Linked DNA regions of Arabidopsis thaliana. The protein of the gene in region 3 interacts with the protein of the main gene of each other region in a biochemical or structural test. Each region holds a gene or a part of one and is shown on either strand. Other genes may lie near its edges. The genes, in order: SCE1, UBA2A, SUMO1 and AT5G08450.

Region 1 (4,111 bases), on a different chromosome or scaffold from region 3:
AAATGGGAGAAATTCACTTAGCTGTGAGATTCACTTGCTCTTCATTGCTCAACATGATGTATATGTACTCACAGCCTCTCTTACCGAAGATGCATTATATCCATCCACTGACGGTTAGCCAGCTTGATAACTTGAGGCATCAAGCGACTCAGATTGTATCGATGAGGCTGACCCGAGCAGAACCACCTCTAAGGAAAGAAGTAGTTGAGTATATGCTTGATGTGGGTTCTCACATGTGGAGTATGCGGAGAAGCAAAGCAAACTTTTTCAGGATTATGGGAGTTTTGAGTGGGTTAATCGCAGTAGGAAAATGGTTTGAACAAATCTGCAACTGGAAGAATCCAATCACAACAGTCTTGATCCATCTCTTGTTCATCATCCTTGTGCTCTATCCCGAACTAATCTTGCCCACCATCTTCCTCTACCTCTTCCTCATCGGTATCTGGTACTACCGTTGGAGACCGAGGCATCCTCCTCACATGGACACACGTCTCTCTCACGCTGACTCAGCCCACCCCGACGAGCTAGATGAAGAGTTCGACACTTTTCCTACTTCCCGACCATCTGACATAGTCAGGATGAGGTATGACAGGTTGAGGAGTATTGCTGGTAGGATTCAGACAGTGGTAGGTGATCTAGCAACTCAAGGAGAAAGGCTTCAGTCTCTGCTAAGCTGGCGTGATCCGCGTGCAACAGCGCTCTTCGTCTTGTTCTGCTTGATTGCCGCAGTCATTCTCTATGTGACACCTTTCCAGGTTGTGGCTCTTTGTATTGGAATCTATGCTCTGAGACATCCGAGGTTCAGATACAAACTACCATCCGTTCCTCTCAATTTCTTCAGAAGGCTTCCTGCAAGAACTGATTGCATGCTCTGACCTGCAAAAACTGCTTCCAATACCGAAGAAAACTTCTATAAGACTTGTAGTTTGTTCTTGTTAAAAATATCATGATGACTCTTTTTAGTTTGTTCATTGTTAAAAATGTCATGATGACTCTTTTCTTGGTGATGGTGATGATGTATCCGTCTGTCTTTTAACATTATTAAGACTTTTGTTTGAAAGTAGTAAAGAAGTATCTTGTGTGGTTTTGATGTTCTTGTCACTGGTTAGTAAGTCATAATCTATGCCTCTCTGGTTTTTGTGTTTTATCACTGGAGCTTTAGGAGTTTGGTGCCATTGGGTTGGTTGCTGTTGAGATTAGAGGTTGTCACAGTTTGGTCTAATGGTCAAATACAAGTTTCAAGAAAAAACCATTTTTCTAATACATCCAAAGTTGGTTATAACCAAAAAAACTATCATATTGGGAATATATGTTCGCTAAATAACATTCTTACACAAAAATTCATTGAAAGCTTTGATATTTTATTTTTTTTCCGACCATTCTGTTTGACAAATGTTTGCCAGGTGAGATACTTTTATTCTAGAAAGACCAACCATTAAGAAGAAGAGGGGAATAATTAAAGCAAGCTTAAGAGTTAAGAACACAAAGTAAATGGGCCCAGATATGGTAATGGGCCACGTGACAAATGGGATGATACGTTATGGCAGAGAAAGAATCTTTTGGTAGCTTTTTTGGGTATCATCGCGTAGGTTTCACGCCACATTTATCCATTGACTTTTTCATTACGTCTTTTCATTTATTTTATGATATAGTAGATAATAATTATACCTGGTTAAAATTTAATAATTGACCGGTCAATAACCATTAAAGTGGAGGAAGTAGGACGAAAGGACATTTATTCGCCGCGAAATCTGGACCGTACGATACTCCGATTACCCTTCTAAAGCTTTAACATAGGGGTACATCTGTAACTTCACATTCCATCTTCCCCCAATCTCCTATTTGTGTCTTCTTCGAGTTTATATATAGAGAGATAGAGATTGGAGAGCGAGCGAGACAAATCAGAAGAGAGAGATTTAGATATTGTAGAGTGAGATTCTAAAGAGAGAGAGAGAGAGAGATATGGCTAGTGGAATCGCTCGTGGTCGTTTAGCTGAAGAGAGGAAATCGTGGAGGAAGAATCATCCTCATGTAAGTGATTTCGTGTCTTCTATTTCTCCAAATTCGTGATTTTGATTTATGGGTTTTGGGTTTCTGTTGATTGTTCATGGTCTCTGATTACTGATTGGGTTTCTTCTTGTTGATGGTGAAATTTAGGGTTTTGTGGCAAAGCCGGAGACGGGGCAGGATGGAACTGTGAATCTAATGGTGTGGCATTGCACTATACCTGGTAAAGCTGGGGTAAGTATCAATCGTGAAATTAGGTTTCTTCAGTTTTCTTATTCCTCTGCTTGTTTTCTTCTGGTTTGTATTAGTAGCAACAAAAAAGAGATTGAAATTAGGGTTTATTGATTTGGGCTAAAGTCTTTGTTTTTATCATCTTCTGATTCTTAGTTCTTCAAAGTTTTAAGCTTCACCAGTCTCTTCCCTTCTTTTTCTTTGTGATTCTGTTTGATGATTCTCTCATATTTGCTTACACATAGAGCCGTGGAAGATTATCTAATATGAATGTTAGTGGGAAGAGTAGCTGTGTATCTATCTCCTTGTTTATCTTGTATGATGTTTTTTTATTGGTGCATATGATTTTGGTCTTGAATACGACATTGAAACTGAACTCTGCTGTGTATCTTACTTTGACATGGCTAATAAGAGTGTTACTGCAAGAGCAATTGCTAATATCAATCTTTACTGTTGTTTATAGCTAATTTTACATGTTTCTCTGCTGCAGACTGATTGGGAAGGTGGATTCTTTCCATTAACGATGCACTTCAGTGAGGATTATCCGAGCAAACCTCCGAAATGTAAATTTCCACAAGGGTTTTTCCACCCTAATGTCTATCCATCTGGAACTGTCTGTCTCTCTATCCTTAACGAGGATTATGTAAGTACTCTACTGTTTCTTTCTTTGCATTTCTCCATGAGCAAAAGCCAGCTTTATCCTCAAGCTCTCTTTTGTTATGTGTATATCCATAGGGATGGAGACCAGCCATCACCGTGAAGCAGATTCTTGTTGGTATTCAGGATTTACTTGACACACCGAATCCCGCTGACCCTGCACAGACAGATGGTTATCATCTCTTCTGTCAGGTACATTTAGAAATGAAAACTCTAAACACAATATTAGGTTTTGAAACATAGGAAGGAACTAAGTCGAGTGATTGTTGATGATTATTGTGCAGGATCCAGTTGAGTACAAGAAAAGGGTGAAGCTGCAGTCCAAGCAGTATCCTGCTCTTGTCTAAAACCTCAAAAAAGAGAACGCACCAAAACTGATGACAAGCTCTGAATATTTTCTCGTCTTGTGTCATTATGTTTAGATGTCATTGGGTGATTGAAAACTCCTCATTTTGGCACCTTAAGACACTGGAATCTATTTATTTTCGAAAAAAAACTCTTCTTTCTCTATTTAACTGTTAATATTCTTGGTACTGATTCAGTTGGTGTTGCTTCTATATAATACATAATTATGTTCTCTGGTCGTTCATGAGTGTTGTCCAAATTCTACTAAGTGAAATATGAAGTCTTCATTCCATAGAGTAACGAATCTTAGTTGTGAATCTAGAAATACATATATTTCTAACTTGAAACTACGCTTAACACTTGAAAGTCAAAATCTTACTCCTCTAAAATTTATACTCCACTGATTTTAGACTTTTGAAGTAGTATTAGTGCTTGTTAGTAAATTGTTTGCTACTTGGAACATTTTTTGTCAATGATTGAGATAGAAAGCTTGGAATATTTAACAGAACTTGGAATTTAGCTACGAAATCAAGTGTGCAGAAAGAGATAGGCAAACACCGTATGTCAACAGTTACAAAGCAATAAAACCAAACATTCAATACTTATATACAACTCAATTATTGAAAGTCAACAACAAGCCAAAATCGTCTACAAGTGATGACACTTCAGATATGAAATGTGTGAACTATTATAATCTTTCCTATGATATCATCATCAGCAGATGATTCCTGATCTATTCTATCATCAGAACAATGATTTTCCAAAACGAGTATCCTATAAAATCGTCAAAAGATGATTGACGCTTCTAATAAAATCATCAGAAAATGATACAAGTCTAAGAAACCACCGAACTTGTGAAGATATGTCATTA
Region 2 (5,733 bases), on a different chromosome or scaffold from region 3:
ATATTCTGAATGTTGTGGATTAACATCCAATTCCATCTCCTCTCTAGACACACTAGAGTACAAAACAATTTGCTTATTCTGAAAATCAGCATCGCTAAACTCTTCTGATGCATCTTCAAAAGCTTCCTCAATGGCTACCACTCCGGGAAAATTTGGCTCTGCACTGCAGTATGGAACCAGCCTCATGTCACTGGACGAATCAAGCATTATTTCTTCCACCAACACTGTATTTATAGGAGATTCTGACTTTTCACTACAATCCATGGCTTCAGAAACTGAATAGCTATCATCCCAAACTTCAGGCTTGACATGAAAGAGCACCAACGGCAAATCAACCTTTTCCACAGATGGAGGAGAGGAAGTAGAAGTACCACACTTTGCTTTTTTACGCTCCTGCTTCTTCTTCCTTCTCTTGGAGAATTTCGTATCCCAACTGCTAAGAGGCTCCTCAATATCACATCCTTCATCTTGGGTCACATACTCTTTTTTAACTTCAACGTTCGAGAATGTCTCAGTAGTAGTATCTCTGCAGTTTCTAAGTTTCCTTTTCCTTTCTTTGCATTGTTTCTGAATCATCTCCAATGTTGTCATGCTAAAATCTTCAGACTCAGAACCTTGTGTAAAATCAGAACCATTGTCCAAATCCCTGACTACTCTTGGAATTGACTCAACACCTTGACTGTCTTCAAGATTGTATATATCCACCAACTGTCTAAATTTGAGCTTTGGTTTTCTTCTGCCATCCATATTCATCACTATTTTGATAGATCCGTCTTTAATGGTTCGGATATAATGTACATGAGAGTTCAAGTGTGTGCTACTTCTTAACTCCACCATTGTAACTATCAGATAATTACTTGCTAACAACTGATTAAGCTCGTATAATCCCCGCGCTCCTGGATTGAAACAAACAAAGGAATTACCGGTAAGGATACTGCTAAGTGCTAACAACAATAAACCAGAATCCTAAATTTCATTAAGCCAATCAGAGAAACGAACATCAATTAGCTACTAAACACAATTTGAAACCAAAACTCTTTTCTTAGAAAATCAATTGCACAAATCTGACCACGAAAAAGGACATGCAAATTAAAAAATGAAATTCACAATGGGCGGCGAAAACCCTAATTTCGCTACATCAATTTTTTTTGTAGCTGTATCGATTCGAGAATGGTAAAGAGCAGATCTGGGTAAAGTAGATGAATGAATCAAAGAGAAATTGAATCTAGGACATTGAATTTACCTTAAGTCTTAATCAACGCTTAATTGGATAGAGAAGGGAAATGAATGCCGAATCCTGGGCTCCAAACTCTAATTTCTGGATCTAGGGTTCACTAAAGAGACAGAGAGACATTAATTTGAAAACAAGACGAAGAAGAAGACCAAGAGACTGAAAATTGCAGCTCTTTGTAAGAAGGGAGGCGAAACCTTTTCTTTGGTTGTCTTGTCTTCTGAGTTCTGACTAATCTTATGAGCCGTCAAGTCTCGCGGGAAACACATGGCGGGAACTTTGACGTTATTCTTTTTTTCTTACTTAAGCATCTTTTCGTAAATGGGTCTTTAAACTTAAAGCCCAATAATCATTAATGGGCTTATATATATAAAATGGTTAGGGGTAAATGTGTAAAAATCCACTTAGCAAAGACTTGAGGTTGATGATATACCACCCACATAGCGGCGCATTATAGATAAGGAGGGGAAAATCAGCTTTTTGGAGAAGAAACCAAAGAAAACATTCGAAACCCTAAAATCTCCATTAGAATTCGAAAATGACAAAGAAGAGAAAGCTCGAAGGAGAAGAATCTAACGAAGCTGAAGAACCGTCGCAGAAGCTGAAGCAGACGCCGGAGGAGGAGCAGCAGCTTGTAATTAAAAATCAGGATAATCAAGGAGACGTTGAAGAAGTTGAATACGAGGAAGTAGAGGAAGAGCAAGAAGAAGAAGTAGAAGATGATGACGATGAAGATGATGGTGATGAGAATGAGGATCAGACGGATGGGAATCGTATAGAGGCGGCGGCGACGTCTGGATCTGGCAATCAAGAAGATGATGACGATGAACCAATTCAGGATCTGTTGGAACCATTTTCAAAGGAGCAAGTTTTGAGTCTTCTTAAGGAAGCAGCGGAGAAGCATGTTGATGTAGCCAATCGAATTAGGGAAGTAGCTGATGAGGACCCTGTTCATCGGAAGATCTTTGTGCACGGTCTTGGTTGGGATACGAAAACAGAGACGCTTATTGAAGCTTTTAAGCAGTACGGAGAGATCGAAGATTGCAAGGCTGTGTTTGATAAGATCTCAGGGAAATCTAAAGGTTATGGCTTTATTCTGTACAAGTCTCGTTCAGGTGCTCGCAACGCACTCAAGCAGCCTCAGAAGAAGATTGGTAGTCGTATGACGGCATGCCAATTGGCTTCTAAAGGACCTGTCTTTGGTGGAGCTCCTATCGCTGCTGCAGCTGTTTCAGCGCCTGCTCAGCATTCGAACTCGGAGCATACTCAGAAAAAGATTTATGTTAGTAATGTCGGAGCAGAGCTTGATCCACAGAAGTTGCTGATGTTTTTCTCAAAGTTTGGAGAAATTGAAGAAGGTCCTTTGGGTCTTGATAAGTATACTGGGAGACCTAAAGGTTTCTGTCTCTTTGTTTATAAGTCGTCTGAAAGCGCCAAGAGGGCTTTGGAGGAGCCACACAAGACTTTTGAAGGCCATATCTTGCATTGCCAGAAAGCTATCGATGGTCCCAAACCGGGCAAGCAGCAGCAGCATCACCATAACCCACACGCCTATAACAATCCTCGTTACCAAAGGAATGATAACAATGGTTATGGTCCGCCTGGAGGTCATGGACATCTCATGGCTGGTAACCCAGCTGGGATGGGTGGTCCAACGGCACAGGTGATAAACCCGGCCATTGGACAGGCCTTGACAGCTTTATTGGCATCTCAGGGAGCTGGTTTGGCTTTTAATCCGGCAATTGGACAGGCTTTGTTGGGTTCCTTGGGGACAGCTGCTGGTGTAAACCCAGGGAATGGAGTTGGAATGCCAACTGGTTACGGTACTCAAGCTATGGCACCGGGGACAATGCCTGGGTACGGTACACAACCTGGGTTGCAAGGCGGTTATCAGACTCCGCAACCTGGTCAAGGCGGTACAAGTAGAGGGCAACATGGTGTCGGGCCATACGGTACTCCTTACATGGGTCACTAAATGTATCATGTATCCATCCACTCAGGTAGAGCAATGAATTTCCCTTGTTTAATTGTTGAAATGTCTTTCCTCAGTATATATTAACTTACTGATGTCTGAAGACAAGAAGTTTCTGTGTATATCCACATGGTTTTTGTTTGCATTGGAGTTTTGGGGGATTTTGCAACGGTTGTTAAAGCATGTTACTTCTCTTATTTTCTTAAATTCATTGTGCAGATATCAGAAATCAGTGTTTTAATATTGGCCTGGTGATTCTTCTCAAGTTTATAAGGAGCTGATGCTAAATGAAGTCTTTATGAAATGTTACTCTTTGGTCACTCCTAAGGCCAAACTCATAAAAAACCTTTTAAGGAGTTTTAGTTTTCATCTACTTGTTTTTCCCAAACTCTCTTTATGAAATTCCTAAAAAAAACTTTGTACTACTATTTTCAGTGTTTATGTCTCTATTTTTTCAGTTTTCTGAATATCCCCCTTAGACTTTCATTTGTAAAACTAAAAAAGCGCAACTACGCTCCATGTGGGTCTTTGCTTATCGAACTCTAGTTTTTCCTAAATAGTTTTTATTGACTTCTCTGTTTTACGATTTCATGTGTTTTTCTGCCTGCAGTGTATTTTGTACCAAGTTATCTTGATTAACCTGGCTTTATGTACTATCCTGATTTTATGTTTGTTCAATTATTCCTCTTGCAGGTAATTGACTGCGGTTGAACAGCCAGATTATGTACCCCTAACTGTCAATGAAATTTCTTTAGCACACATATACTAATCTGAATGCAATTGGTTCTGAAATGATCAAAACTTGGAATTTTAAAATGCAGCAGAGCTCTCTCACTTGTGTTTTTGGATTTTCTATGACAAGTTTCAAAAGTTTTTACAATGACTATTTCAAATTAGAACTTTGTTTCCAAACTTATTTGTCATAAAATTACTAAGTTGCAGCCAACTTGGAACAGTCAAACTTGGTGGGAAGTGGTGCAAGCTTCTCAACGACACAGCTGAAGAATGATCTTTCTGAGGCAATTTCTCAATATTTGAAAAGTGGAAGCTATCGAATAGAGTTTCTCGACAACAGGCAGTTAAGTCTTTGGATCTCCACAACATGCTTGCAACTAAAAGGTAAGTTCAAAGTGTTGAGTATCTTCTTTGGCTATATACAACGTGCTTCCAATTGAAGGGTAAGTAATCAAAAGTGTTAAAAGTATATCTCTCAGTGCGAATCTCTTGCCTATATATGTTCTTGTTTATTGGTCCTAGTCCCTCTTTGAAGTGATAAAAGTTGGTTTTGGTCTAGAGAGCATGTACCTTCAGGTCCTTGTGCACAAGGTTCAGGGATTATTAGAAAAGTCACAAGAGTACGAGGTGATATATTATTTCCCTTAATGTTTCAGAGGAGTTTATAAAGGCGTGAATGCATAAAGTTTTTTTGGTGATGATTGCTTTGATGGTGAAATCTCTTTTTGGAAAAGTGCAGCTTTGAATATTATTTATGATGATGATACATAGTAGAAGGGTTCATTGATGATGAAGAAGAGAAGCAGAATATGAAGCTGAAGTGGAATTGGGGGAAGTAAGTAGTAGAGTTTTGTGTATTTGATCTCAAGTCAACAATCTCTCAATTGTTATGTCAAGTTTCGAAAAGGGAAAAAGGTCCTTCATTGATGAAGAGAATCCAAGATGCAATATTCTTCAAAGCCACATTCAATGTTCATAAAACCCAATCTGAGATTGGATAATAGAAAGTATAATTAAAGGTTTGAGATTTCAATATTGCAAAAAAATACATGTAAATTATTGCCTAAAAATGGTTTAACATGATTGCAGATTAATTTATAGTAATCACTTACCATTTAAAGAGAAACTCATAGGCATGAGGATTAGTGTTGAGAGCCAAAGAACATAAACATGTATATGTATAACCTTTTCTGATTAAAGTTTGATAATCAATCTACCTAAATTCCCATTGAAGCTAAATGAATGAAGGGTCTCCGAGCACATGTAGTGTTTATTGATTCCACCTTCATTTAAGTTAATCACTAATCATTAAGTGTTTAAACAAACCTCTGTTTCTTATTTTGATCGAAAGTTTGAGAAACCATTTTTGGGCAACTAAAAAAAGAAGAAACGCATTGAAAATTCCACAGGAGGCTTGAGAGGGGGGCATTGCCACAGTATCGAGTGTCACTTTCTCAATCAAAAGGTTTTCTCTCTCTTCTCTTTTTTCCTCTCCTGCGCGAAAACAAAACGAAGAGAGAGAGAGAGACTCAGACACACACAGACACAGAGTTTAGGTTTGCTTTGTAAATCTGTCTCTGCACTTATCATAGTTTCGTTTCTCTTTTGAGAAAGAAAAACCCAAACTTGCCATGTTTTAGATCTGGTCCTTTTTAAGCTCCAAAAGATTGTTGCTTTTTCTCTTGCTTAAGTTTTTGATTTATTCTTCTTCTTCGAAAAGTCTGTACCTCGCAAGAGTTTGATTGTCCTTGTGTTGCGATTTCCATGTTTAGTATCTGCATTTGATAGCCTTCGA
Region 3 (3,647 bases):
GCAATGTTAACCAGAAAAGCAACAGAACCCATGGAGGTCCGATCACAAATGGGACGGCCGCCGAGTGCCTTGTCCTTCAGTGAACAATATGGTGACTTGGTGGTTTGTATGTATAATTAAAAGCCTAAATAAGCAAACTCTCTTTGTAGTTGCATTTGAAGCTTCTTGGTTTATGTATGATGGTTGTGGGCATTTTGTGCCTAGACTTCTGGTTCTTTGTTTTTTGTTATGAGTTGGTGTTTATGAATTATATATGTTCTTCACTAATATGATTATTATTTGTATAGATTTGATTATTCAAAGGATATGTCTTAAGAAGGGGTTCAGGTTCAGCCAACTAATTACTTGTAACCAAGTCTTTCTACCATCAACAACCATGTTAAGATTCAGACACTTAGTTTTTACAGCTCGAGACTCGAGAGAGAGTAATAATACTGATTATTGTCTTGTCTATAACCACCACAAGCTCTGGTTATGAAGTCGTCCTCTATAGACTATAATTCACTAACTCGATGCTAGTTCATGTTTAAGTAATATTTTGTTTAGTTGACTAGATGGATTTTATCTTTGCTCGCCATTAGCTCAATGAGCTACGTATATGTTAAGAGTCACACTTTCAATAATTAATAGCTTTTTACCGTTACCATACCAACAAACTTTAGATAATTGGGTTAATAACACCTTTAAGCCGAAATAGTAGTATCATAGGATCCGATACCAAACGAACAAGACAAAAAATCAACCAAAGGGTTCTTTAACCTTCGTGACCATAATAACTTAGTTTCTAAAGAGAATGGTCACGATAAAAAAACAAGTCTGCAAATCCTAATGCCGATTACTCCTTAACCATTCATATCACACACAAGCCCTAAACCTGGACGAAGTGTCAGGCCGTAGCACCACCACCGCTGCCACCAGTCTGATGGAGCATCGCATCGATCTCATCACCATCCTCCATGTCAAGCTGTAGTGTCAAGAATTATTAGTATCAGAAACTATAAACTTCAAAAGGTAAGAAATAAAGCATGTAGAATGAATGTTATACCTCATCGGGAGTTTGCTCAGCACGAAGACGACGCCCATCAAACAAGAAAGCAATGGAGTTCATGTCCACAGATTGCCGGTCACAGTAAGCATTCATCAGCTTCTTGAGCTGAGTGCTTCTCTTGATCCTAAAGAAAACCTCGTTTCCATCCTATAAAACAAACATATAGAAGGAACAATAAACGTTAGAGACCGCATATGAAACAATAACTAAATCACATGGCTCTCTTTTGGTAGTAACCTGAAAGAGTCGAAAAATTAAACACATATCAACAAACATTCAGTTTAAGGCTTCGTCTATGAGAATTTGAAGCACAAACATCAGCCAAACTAATTGAAAACTTAGTACAGAGACTACAACTTCATCAGAAGATATATAACAACTTAGTACAGAGACAGCATCGTTCACAGTCTTTAGAACATTCAACAACTAAGTAAACTTATCCCTTCCAAAACTATAAAACCCTCAAACAACAACAGGAACCAAAAGCTCAATAACAACTTACACCTAAACAAGACTTATATAATTTCAGAAATTTGATAAACAATTAGCAAAAACAAGCAAACGTGTAAACATAAAGCAGGATACTTTAAACCTGTAAAACAAAAGAGGAAGAAGACCATTAAGACTGAGCTAGTAGTACGAAACCCTAAAATTAAACCAAATTGGAGAATGAAAAACCCTAATCGCAGCTACACGAAATCAGAAACCCAAACATTCACAAGAACACACAAGGATGAGAAGGAGAAAGAGAGATACCTGTCCCTTGACTTTGAGATTGATGTGAGCTCCTCCGTCTCCTGGCTTCTTGTCTTCCTCCTGGTTTGCAGACATCGTGAAAGGTTCTCCGTCCGGTTACAAAAACACGAAATTTGAGAGAACGATGAGAGATTCACACAATCAAAGAATGATGCTGAGAGATGAATATAAAAAGACTGACTCTGAAAATCTCTCTAATTGGCCGTGGCTTTTGTACTTGGACGCATCGGATTCCTCTCTATCATAAATCGTAGGGCATCTATCCAACGGTTCATATTCTCTCTAGGTTCTCTTTTAATCCAACGGCTGCTAGTTATGTTCAAATCTGTCGTTTCGTTATAATGGGCTTATATTTTTATTGGGCCACATCTAACCCACTAGACAATTTCATTTGGTTAAATATTTTAGGTTGCAGTTCCTGATCTCACGTGACGTGAGTCCTCCTATCCACCACTCTCCATGATTTCATCATCTGTTGAAGACTTGACAATTTGACATAGAAGAAATAAATAAATTGTTAAATCTATAAATCATGTCACTTTGTGTATTAACAAAAAGATTAGTTGAAGGAGATAAAGTCTGTCACACACTCTTCACAAAAGAAAGAAATGATGATGAATTAACGAAATATGCGCAATGCAACATATAAAGAACCTAGGTCTTGACTCTTGTTTAAGAAACAATAAAAGTCAAGGTTTTTGTTAGGTTTCTGTTATAACCAAAATCAACTATGAAAACATTCATATGTTAGAAAAACATCAAAATTATAGAGAGTTCCTTTAACTGAAGATTATGGTAAAGTAAAACTTTTTGCTATAAATAGAGCTTTAAAATTATACAGTTTTAGTTAAATCTATTATTTCAGCTATTCTTCCGTGTTATTAGTTATCCCACAACCCCCACTTGGCACTTGTTTACACCTAAATCGTATAAATACTGTAGACCAGCTCCGTCCCAAACGCAACAAAAACTTTCCTTCGTCTCCATAACTATCAAACGACACTCATCTATGCGTTTAATGCTCTGTTTCTGAAGATACACTCGAGAATAACCATGGCCGTTTCTTTCTTACCTTATTTTCTGATTCTTTCCTTCCTCTCAGCCATTGACGCACGTTAGTTTTTAATCTCTTCATATACCTATGTCTGTCTCTGTATTTGCCGTGTCTACTACGTTGTTCTTATTTTGCGTTTTTTTTGTTTTTGTTTCCACAGATTCTGGAATGGTCGGAGTCAATTATGGTCGGATAGCTAACAATCTCCCGTCGCCGGAGAAAGTAGTGAACCTCCTGAAATCTCAAGGAATCAACCGTATCAAAATCTTCGACACCGATAAGAATGTACTAACCGCACTTGCAAATTCCAAAATCAAAGTAATCGTCGCTCTCCCTAACGAGCTTCTCTCCTCCGCCGCCTCCCACCAATCATTCGCCGACAACTGGATTAAAACCCACATAATGCCATACTTCCCAGCGACGGAGATCGAAGCTATCGCCGTCGGTAACGAAGTATTCGTCGATCCGACGATCACGCCGTATCTTGTCAATGCGATGAAGAACATTCACACCTCTCTGGTTAAGTATAAACTCGACAAAGCCATCAAGATCTCGTCTCCTATTGCTCTTAGCGCGCTTGCTAATTCGTACCCGCCTTCCTCTGGTTCTTTTAAACCGGAATTAATCGAACCGGTTGTTAAACCAATGCTTGCTCTGCTTCAACAAACGTCGTCGTATCTTATGGTAAATGCTTATCCGTTTTTCGCTTACGCAGCAAACGCCGATAAAATCTCTTTAGACTACGCTCTGTTTAAAGAAAACGCCGGGAATATAGATTCCGGTACCGGA
Region 4 (7,463 bases), on a different chromosome or scaffold from region 3:
GAAAGAAGTAGGGTCGTAAATAGAGCTTGAGAGGAATAGCCTTGGTTTCAGATAATTGTTAATGTAGTCATTGTTACCCAATGACACCACCACCAATGACTTTGCCATATATTCCTTCACTGACTCTTTCCTCATGCTCCTACTTATCTCCATTAATGTCTTCTCGAAGTTCTCCACTTGTCTTCCCATGCTAAATCTCTCTCCCTTCATCCATGCATGCATGCAAGAATGCAACCCCATTTATTATAGTCTTTTTTTTGGGGTTATTAAATACTCATGTCTCGTAGGCAAAAGTTTTTCATGCACCCTATCAAAGTCACTCGACATTAAATAACCTCCCGTGATTCAAATGTGGCTACTTCTATTGGTTAAAGGACGACTGTTCCGGCGGACTTTATGCACCCCAAATTCACTTTTTTATTTTTTTATTTTTTTTACTTAGCGAAAGATAACTTTCAATTTTCAATATCGAAAACCGTATGCTTATTAACAAAAAAGCATAGTACAATTCAATTTTCGGTTTCAGTTTTGGATATTTCGAACTTGGATTCTTTATATGAACATAAGCAATCGATTAGACCAATTTCGTTAAACAAAGTTTTTGATATGAACTAACATGGTAAAAAAAAAGAAACATATCCTATATAACCAAAAAATGTTTTGAACAATAAAAATAGACATTTAGAAAGAAAAAAAAGAAGAAGTACCAGATGGCGACCGGTTTCCTCTAAGATTCCTCCGGCAGCTGAGGCATAGTTCACACCATGGAGAATATCCACTCCTCCGTCAACCGTGTCCATAAACGCCGGTATCTCCGGCAGCCCTAGCAACTCTCCTGCAACCATCCACATCCATCCCCATGATCATGTTAATTAATTAATTGCTAACCCAAAACAAACTAAAAAATTAACAAAACAAAAAAAAAAAGTAAAAGGGTGAATCTCTTGTGCAAATTAAATTTATGCATGCACTGATTTCAAAACCAAATGCATGTAGAGACCGATATGTAAAATATGTACCAATGAAATCGACGATAGTTTTGCCGTTAGAGAAGCGACCGGTTGGTTGATTTCCAGCGAAATCGATGCCGTAAGGGAGATAGTTGGACCTAGCCAGTGAGTTCAAGTGGTTATTGTTTCCGTTATCCACCAAAGAGTCTCCGAACACAAACATCGCCGGAAACATTGCCGTCGTCTCGGATGAGTCTTCTCCACCGGCGAGTACAAATACTACTAGAAACCATGGAACAAGTACTAATGTTTGAACTGTGCAAGACATCATCATCATGTCTTTAAACTTGAATATTTCACTATCATGCATGGTCGCTTGAGATATATAAATACCAAGGTGATATGACTCCTTCCTTCGATTTATTTATTTATTATTTTATTTCGTCTCAGTGAATTTAATGAGCTCTGTTTTCCGTTGACTTTTTATTGTACTGTATAAAAAAAATTAAAAACGACAAAATCTATATCCTATGAACAATTCAATTAATAGAAAGTTTTATGGAAAAAGTGAGAGATTGAATAAGTATGAGGGCATAACGGCAATAAATAAAACCTAAATTGTGGAGACTTGTAAGAGCACGACGGTCTGTGACAAGAAGCAAATATTAACGCGAAAAATAAACATTTGTCCAAAATAAAGTAGCAAACCAAGGAGAACGGAAAATAAATTAGACTCATCAGAGAAACTCAGAGAGAGGCAAAAGTCCGAATCCAGTTTGCCATTTATTACTTCCCGGCGGCAAAATCCAAAAGGGTTTGCTTCTTCGTGCTCTGCTTCAGTTTCAATTGGTAAAAGAAATATCCTTTTTAAAAAAATCTTCGGCTCTGTGTTCATTTTAGGGATTCAATGTTTAGTCTGGTGATTCAAATTCTGTGTTTTGCTCTAGGTTGTGTATGAATTAAGTGCAATTCTATCTGTTGCAGCAGTGAATTTCTGGGTTATTGAATTTGGGAGTGATGAGTGGTGTTCCAAAGAGATCTCACGAAGAGGGTGTTACTCATCCATCTTCTTCTTCATCAGTAGCAAAATACCCTCACGAGGATTCTGGATCTTACCCTAAATCGCCGCATCAGCCTGTGACGCCACCACCGGCTCAGGTTCATCATAACCATCAACAGCCCCATCAGCATCCCCAATCTCAATCTCAATCTCAGCCTCAACCTCACCTCCAGGCGCTTCCTCACCCTCATTCTCATTCTCACTCCCATTCACCACTTGCTGCTGCTGCTTCTGCTTCTGCTCCTTATGAGGTTGAATCTAGAACGGTGGTTAAGGTTGCGAGAAGCGAGCCTAGAGATGGAGAGAGACGCTCTCCTCTGCCTCTTGTCTATCGGTCTCCGTCGCTGCCCACAACTGTTTCTTCTAGTGATCCTCATTTGACTCACGCCCCTGTGCCGATGGAGCCGAGAGATGGTGCTAAGGATGGCAGGGAAATTAGGGTTGAGAGTAGAGAAAATAGGAGTGATGGGAGAGAGATATATGGTGAGACAAAGAGGGAGATTCAGGGTCCTAAGGGAGACAGAGATGTGAAATTTGAGAGATCAGTAGATGACTTTAGCGGAAAAGGTAATACCGGAAGCTATACTAGGAATGATGGGAGAGAGATGTATGGTGAGACTAAGAGGGAGATTCAGGGTCCTAAGAGTGACAGGGATGCCAAGTTTGAGCGTCCAGGGGATGATTTTAGCGGGAAAAGTAATGCCGGTAGCTATACTAGGGATACAAAATTTGATAGGGAGAATCAAAATTATAATGAACAAAAGGGGGAGATTAAGATGGAAAAGGAAGGGCATGCTCACTTGGCTTGGAAAGAGCAGAAGGATTACCATAGAGGGAAGAGAGTTGCTGAAGGTTCGACTGCAAATGTGGACCCGTGGGTTGTATCCCGCGGTAATCCGCAAGGCCCAACTGAGGTTGGGCCTAAAGATCTCTCTGCGCCTGTGGAGGGGTCTCATTTGGAAGGACGTGAAACCGTCGGAGAAAACAAGGTTGATGCCAAAAACGAAGATAGATTTAAGGAAAAAGATAAGAAAAGAAAAGAGTTAAAGCATCGAGAATGGGGGGACCGAGACAAGGATAGAAATGACCGTCGAGTATCTGTGCTTGTTGGTAGTGTCATGAGTGAACCCAAAGAGATTGGAAGAGAAGAAAGGGAATCCGATAGGTGGGAACGGGAGAGGATGGAGCAGAAAGATCGAGAAAGAAATAAAGAGAAAGATAAAGATCATATCAAAAGAGAGCCAAGGACTGGTGCTGAGAAAGAGATCTCGCAGAACGAGAAAGAGCTGGGAGAAGCATCTGCCAAACCCTCAGAGCAGGAATATGTGGCACCAGAGCAGAAGAAGCAGAACGAACCGGATAATTGTGAAAAAGACGAAAGAGAAACAAAGGAAAAAAGGAGAGAGAGGGATGGTGATTCAGAGGCAGAAAGAGCTGAAAAGCGCAGCAGAATCAGTGAAAAAGAATCTGAAGATGGGTGTTTAGAGGGTGAAGGAGCTACCGAGAGGGAAAAGGATGCCTTCAATTATGGGGTTCAGCAGAGGAAGAGAGCGCTGAGACCGAGAGGCAGCCCACAAACCACTAATCGCGACAATGTCCGCTCACGGAGTCAGGACAACGAAGGGTGCGTCTCTCTGTCTTCCTCGTTTAATTATAATTATATGTTTCTCATTGCTTAGTAGAATCCTTTATCTTTACCATTTAGAGAGACATACCCCATTGATTAAATTTGGAGCCTATATAGTAATATCTGCAGGTGATACGATACTATATGATGAAGGGGCCATTATTGTTGAATATCTTATTACCATTATTGTTTTTCCTCTTAAAAGATAAAAAGCCTTTAAATAAAATTCTGCAATCATATGTGTATTATGTAGTGTCTTATCTCTGAAAACCAAATTTGATTTTTCTCTGGATTCCTCTCCGCTCCTTTTCTATCTGTGTTAAGAATATTATGTCTTTTATTACGTAAGTTAGGTATTAGCTAAGCTCAAGACTTTTGTTTTTGTAATTACTGGCCTGGCTTGTAATGTATCATCCGTTTTTGATTGTGTTTATTTTGCAGAGTACAAGGTAATCATTCATTTCTATATCCTCAAGAAAGGATCAAGTTGCACTGCTTGGAGAACAATAGTAAAAAAAAACCGGTTATGACATTTTTCTTTTACATATCACTGAAATGGTCATCTACGAACACACATGCACTTGATAAGCAATCTATTTTGAGATTTTCTTCTTATGGTCGTCCTTAGGTTACTGTTCTTTACTCTCACAGTAGAATGTCAAATATATAAAGAACCTCAAGATCTAAAAATATGGACCTAATAGTCGATGTGATCCTTAATGCTACTTGAGATTTTGGCTGCTAAAAGTTACTTACTGCCCTGGCTTTTTTTTTAACTTTTATCATTTTTCTGTTTCTTTTATTTTCTACACAATTTGAATCCCTTTGCACTTCATAATTTGATCTTGTTGAATTTTATTGTACTGATGATTCAGGCAAGTCAGAGGTGTCGATTGTTGTTTACAAAGTTGGCGAATGTATGCAAGAACTGATTAAGTTGTGGAAAGAATATGATTTGTCTCATCCTGATAAAAGCGGTGATTTCGCTAATAATGGCCCCACTCTTGAAGTTAGGATTCCAGCTGAGCATGTTACTGCTACAAATCGCCAAGTAAGTCGAATATATATCCAAATTTTTCTCATAATCATTTTCATTGTTTTTCTTCTAGATGACTTGGTGCATATAGTTTTAGTTCCAGTCTTTTGATCTGTTTAATTCACTTCGCCTATTAATTTGAGAAACACAGCTCCCTTGTTTGTTACTTGCTGAGACATTTGGCTCGTGTGCAGGTAAGAGGTGGCCAACTATGGGGAACAGATATATACACAGACGATTCCGATCTTGTTGCTGGTATGTACCCTAATGAATCTTATGCAATTATTATCTTTGTTTGGCCCGAACATGACATTGATTCTGGTCTACCTGTCATCTAGTTCTCATGCATACAGGTTACTGTCGTCCCACAGCTTCTCCTCCTCCACCGACAATGCAAGAGCTGCGCACTACTATTAGAGTCTTGCCGTCACAAGATTGTAAGTTAGCTTACCTCTGTCTTGCTTTTGATTCCTTTAACTGACTGTTGCATGTGAACTTCATACTATGTTGAGCTCTTCTCTGCTTTATATCAAGGAAGAATCTTTATCAAACTTCCAACTTAACTGATATATTTGTTAGACTACACCTCCAAGCTAAGGAACAATGTCCGTTCTCGAGCATGGGGAGCTGGAATCGGATGCAGTTATAGAGTTGAGCGGTGCTATATACTGAAGGTGATTTGACATGTGCCATTATGTGTCTTTCTAATTTCCTTGATTATCTTCTCCCACTATGTGCGTAATATCTAGTTTTAAGTGAATTTGTGTAAAACTCCTTATGGAAATTCTGATGATATGATTCCAGAAAGGAGGTGGGACTATTGAACTGGAACCTTCCCTTACACACTCCTCAACTGTGGAGCCAACTCTTGCACCAATGGCTGTTGAAAGATCTATGACCACCAGAGCTGCAGCTTCGGTATTTTCCTTCCACTTTGGAAATATCTGCTCTCTTAATCTTCTTACAACTCTTGGATTATTACACATGGCGGCTTGCATAGTTTTCTCATATTTCATATCTTTCGAACACTGACGACTTATTTACTGTTCTGTAGAATGCTCTGCGGCAACAAAGGTTTGTACGAGAAGTCACAATACAATACAATCTCTGCAATGAACCTTGGTAACTCTCTGTCAATAATCTCCAAATACTTCAAAAATTGTTCACAGAATTTCCTAAATTTATCAGAAATCTTTGTCACCTAAAAGTTATCAGACGCAAGGGTCAGTTTTACTTACGCATCGATCTACTTGTCTGCAGGATTAAATATAGCATAAGCATTGTTGCTGATAAAGGTCTCAAGAAGCCTCTTTTCACCTCTGCCCGCTTGAAGAAAGGGGAAGTTTTGTACTTAGAAACTCATTCATGCAGGTATGCACATCACATGTTTCTTTTATCTGACATTAATGACATAAGACGCTGAATCTAATCTGTGTATGCAAAAAGGTATGAGCTCTGTTTCGCAGGAGAGAAGACCATCAAAGCAATCCAAGCCTCACAACAACAATCATCACATGAAGCTATGGAGACAGATAATAATAATAACAAGTCACAGAACCATCTGACAAACGGTGACAAAACAGATTCAGACAACAGTTTAATTGATGTTTTCCGCTGGTCACGATGTAAGAAACCTCTCCCACAGAAGCTTATGCGGTCTATCGGGTTTCCACTCCCAGCAGATCATATCGAGGTTAACATTTTTCTCCAATTTGACTCTTCTTGTTTTGAAAATTCTTTATAAAACAAATGCTGATGATGTGTTGTGGATTTTGGAATGGAGTAGGTGTTGGAGGAGAATCTTGATTGGGAAGATGTACAGTGGTCACAAACTGGTGTTTGGATTGCTGGAAAAGAGTACACTCTTGCTCGTGTTCATTTTCTCTCCCCCAACTAAAAAAAACCTTTCATGCTTTGCTTCTATCTTACAAAACTTTTTATATTTTATTTATGGATTAGAGACTACAGTTACTTTGGCCTATCTTGTCTTGTGTACTTCTTCCTTGTAACATTTATTTATATATCGTCAGAAACATCCTTGGCACACCTCAACTTGCCACCTAACTTCTTCAGCACTAGAGGTATACACTCGGCCATCTGCCCAGGTTCCCTTTTCGAGAATCAAAAAAAGATTGTGCATATCTCTGATTCCAGCATCAAAATCCTCCCAAGCCGTCCTGATCAAACCCCATTGGACTGACTTGCCACCAATATGATATACTCCATTCTTTGGTTTGATATTTCTCGAGGAGACATGATGGATAACCAAAGCAGCCTTTCCCCCACGGGACTACCAATTTTCGGGCCGCTTTTAACACTTCTCCATAACTTCAAGCCGAACTGCAACACACTAGAATTTCATCATGCAGCAAGAACATCAACATATAGCGAGAGCTCACTCCTAGTTGCATAACCTCCTCTCTAAGCTCCTTTTTATACTTAGCCCGTTCAGGCCCGCGGGCTGCTAGCCCACTTTAACATCACATATGCCATCAGTGAACATCACATATGTTGGGCTTTGTTAGCTTTGTATGATGTGGTTCAATGAACATCACATATGCCAAAGACGGCATTTTGGTAATTACATGTTGACTTAGAATATAGAATGGCTTCTCTTTAGAAATGATTTCATTTCATCTTCTTCTGAAAACCGACATTTGTAATGAAATGTAAAGTGGAACTCAGATCAACAAAAGATTTGGTTTATTACTACTTTTTTTTTTGCTCATATTTTTTTTTTCATATACTGAAATTGATTGAATAGTTTTTTCTTAATCAGCTACAGAAGCC

Evidence for each region.
Region 1: the proteins of SUMO1 (region 3) and SCE1 form a complex in vitro, tested with the Arabidopsis thaliana proteins (one study listed by BioGRID).
Region 2: the proteins of SUMO1 (region 3) and UBA2A form a complex in vitro, tested with the Arabidopsis thaliana proteins (one study listed by BioGRID).
Region 4: the proteins of SUMO1 (region 3) and AT5G08450 form a complex in vitro, tested with the Arabidopsis thaliana proteins (one study listed by BioGRID).

What each region holds. Positions count from the first base shown.
Region 1 is NC_003074.8:21,427,962-21,432,072, reverse strand, and holds SCE1 (sumo conjugation enzyme 1), read left to right. Parts: upstream 1-1,674; 5' UTR 1,675-1,962; coding exon 1,963-2,031; intron 2,032-2,157; coding exon 2,158-2,241; intron 2,242-2,728; coding exon 2,729-2,881; intron 2,882-2,973; coding exon 2,974-3,087; intron 3,088-3,179; coding exon 3,180-3,242; 3' UTR 3,243-3,577; downstream 3,578-4,111. Other genes in the region: AT3G57880 (Calcium-dependent lipid-binding (CaLB domain) plant phosphoribosyltransferase family protein), read left to right, coding at 1-875. UniProt on the Arabidopsis thaliana protein: SUMO-conjugating enzyme that accepts the SUMO proteins from the E1 SUMO-activating heterodimer SAE1/SAE2 and catalyzes its covalent attachment to other proteins with the E3 SUMO ligases SIZ1 and MMS21.
Region 2 is NC_003074.8:21,048,181-21,053,913, reverse strand, and holds UBA2A (UBP1-associated protein 2A), read left to right. Parts: upstream 1-1,593; 5' UTR 1,594-1,769; coding exon 1,770-3,206; 3' UTR 3,207-3,231; exon of another isoform or gene 3,232-4,159; 3' UTR 4,160-5,187; downstream 5,188-5,733. Other genes in the region: AT3G56870 (uncharacterized protein), read right to left, coding at 1-837. UniProt on the Arabidopsis thaliana protein: Heterogeneous nuclear ribonucleoprotein (hnRNP)-like protein that acts as a component of a complex regulating the turnover of mRNAs in the nucleus. Binds with high affinity to RNA molecules that contain U-rich sequences in 3'-UTRs.
Region 3 is NC_003075.7:13,495,698-13,499,344, reverse strand, and holds SUMO1 (small ubiquitin-like modifier 1), read right to left. Parts: upstream 2,059-3,647; 5' UTR 1,880-2,058; coding exon 1,805-1,879; intron 1,196-1,804; coding exon 1,046-1,195; intron 965-1,045; coding exon 887-964; 3' UTR 525-886; downstream 1-524. Other genes in the region: VTC2 (GDP-L-galactose phosphorylase 1), read left to right, coding at 1-83; AT4G26830 (O-Glycosyl hydrolases family 17 protein), read left to right, coding at 2,946-3,647. UniProt on the Arabidopsis thaliana protein: Ubiquitin-like protein which can be covalently attached to target lysines as a monomer. Does not seem to be involved in protein degradation and may function as an antagonist of ubiquitin in the degradation process.
Region 4 is NC_003076.8:2,727,077-2,734,539, reverse strand, and holds AT5G08450 (zinc finger CCCH domain protein), read left to right. Parts: upstream 1-1,614; 5' UTR 1,615-1,799; intron 1,800-1,897; exon of another isoform or gene 1,898-1,934; 5' UTR 1,935-1,967; coding exon 1,968-3,634; intron 3,635-4,078; coding exon 4,079-4,086; intron 4,087-4,512; coding exon 4,513-4,688; intron 4,689-4,867; coding exon 4,868-4,928; intron 4,929-5,011; coding exon 5,012-5,110; intron 5,111-5,252; coding exon 5,253-5,347; intron 5,348-5,477; coding exon 5,478-5,591; intron 5,592-5,727; coding exon 5,728-5,795; intron 5,796-5,933; coding exon 5,934-6,044; intron 6,045-6,119; coding exon 6,120-6,366; intron 6,367-6,459; coding exon 6,460-6,570; 3' UTR 6,571-6,927; downstream 6,928-7,463. Other genes in the region: AT5G08460 (GDSL-like Lipase/Acylhydrolase superfamily protein), read right to left, coding at 1-204, 708-835, 1,020-1,320.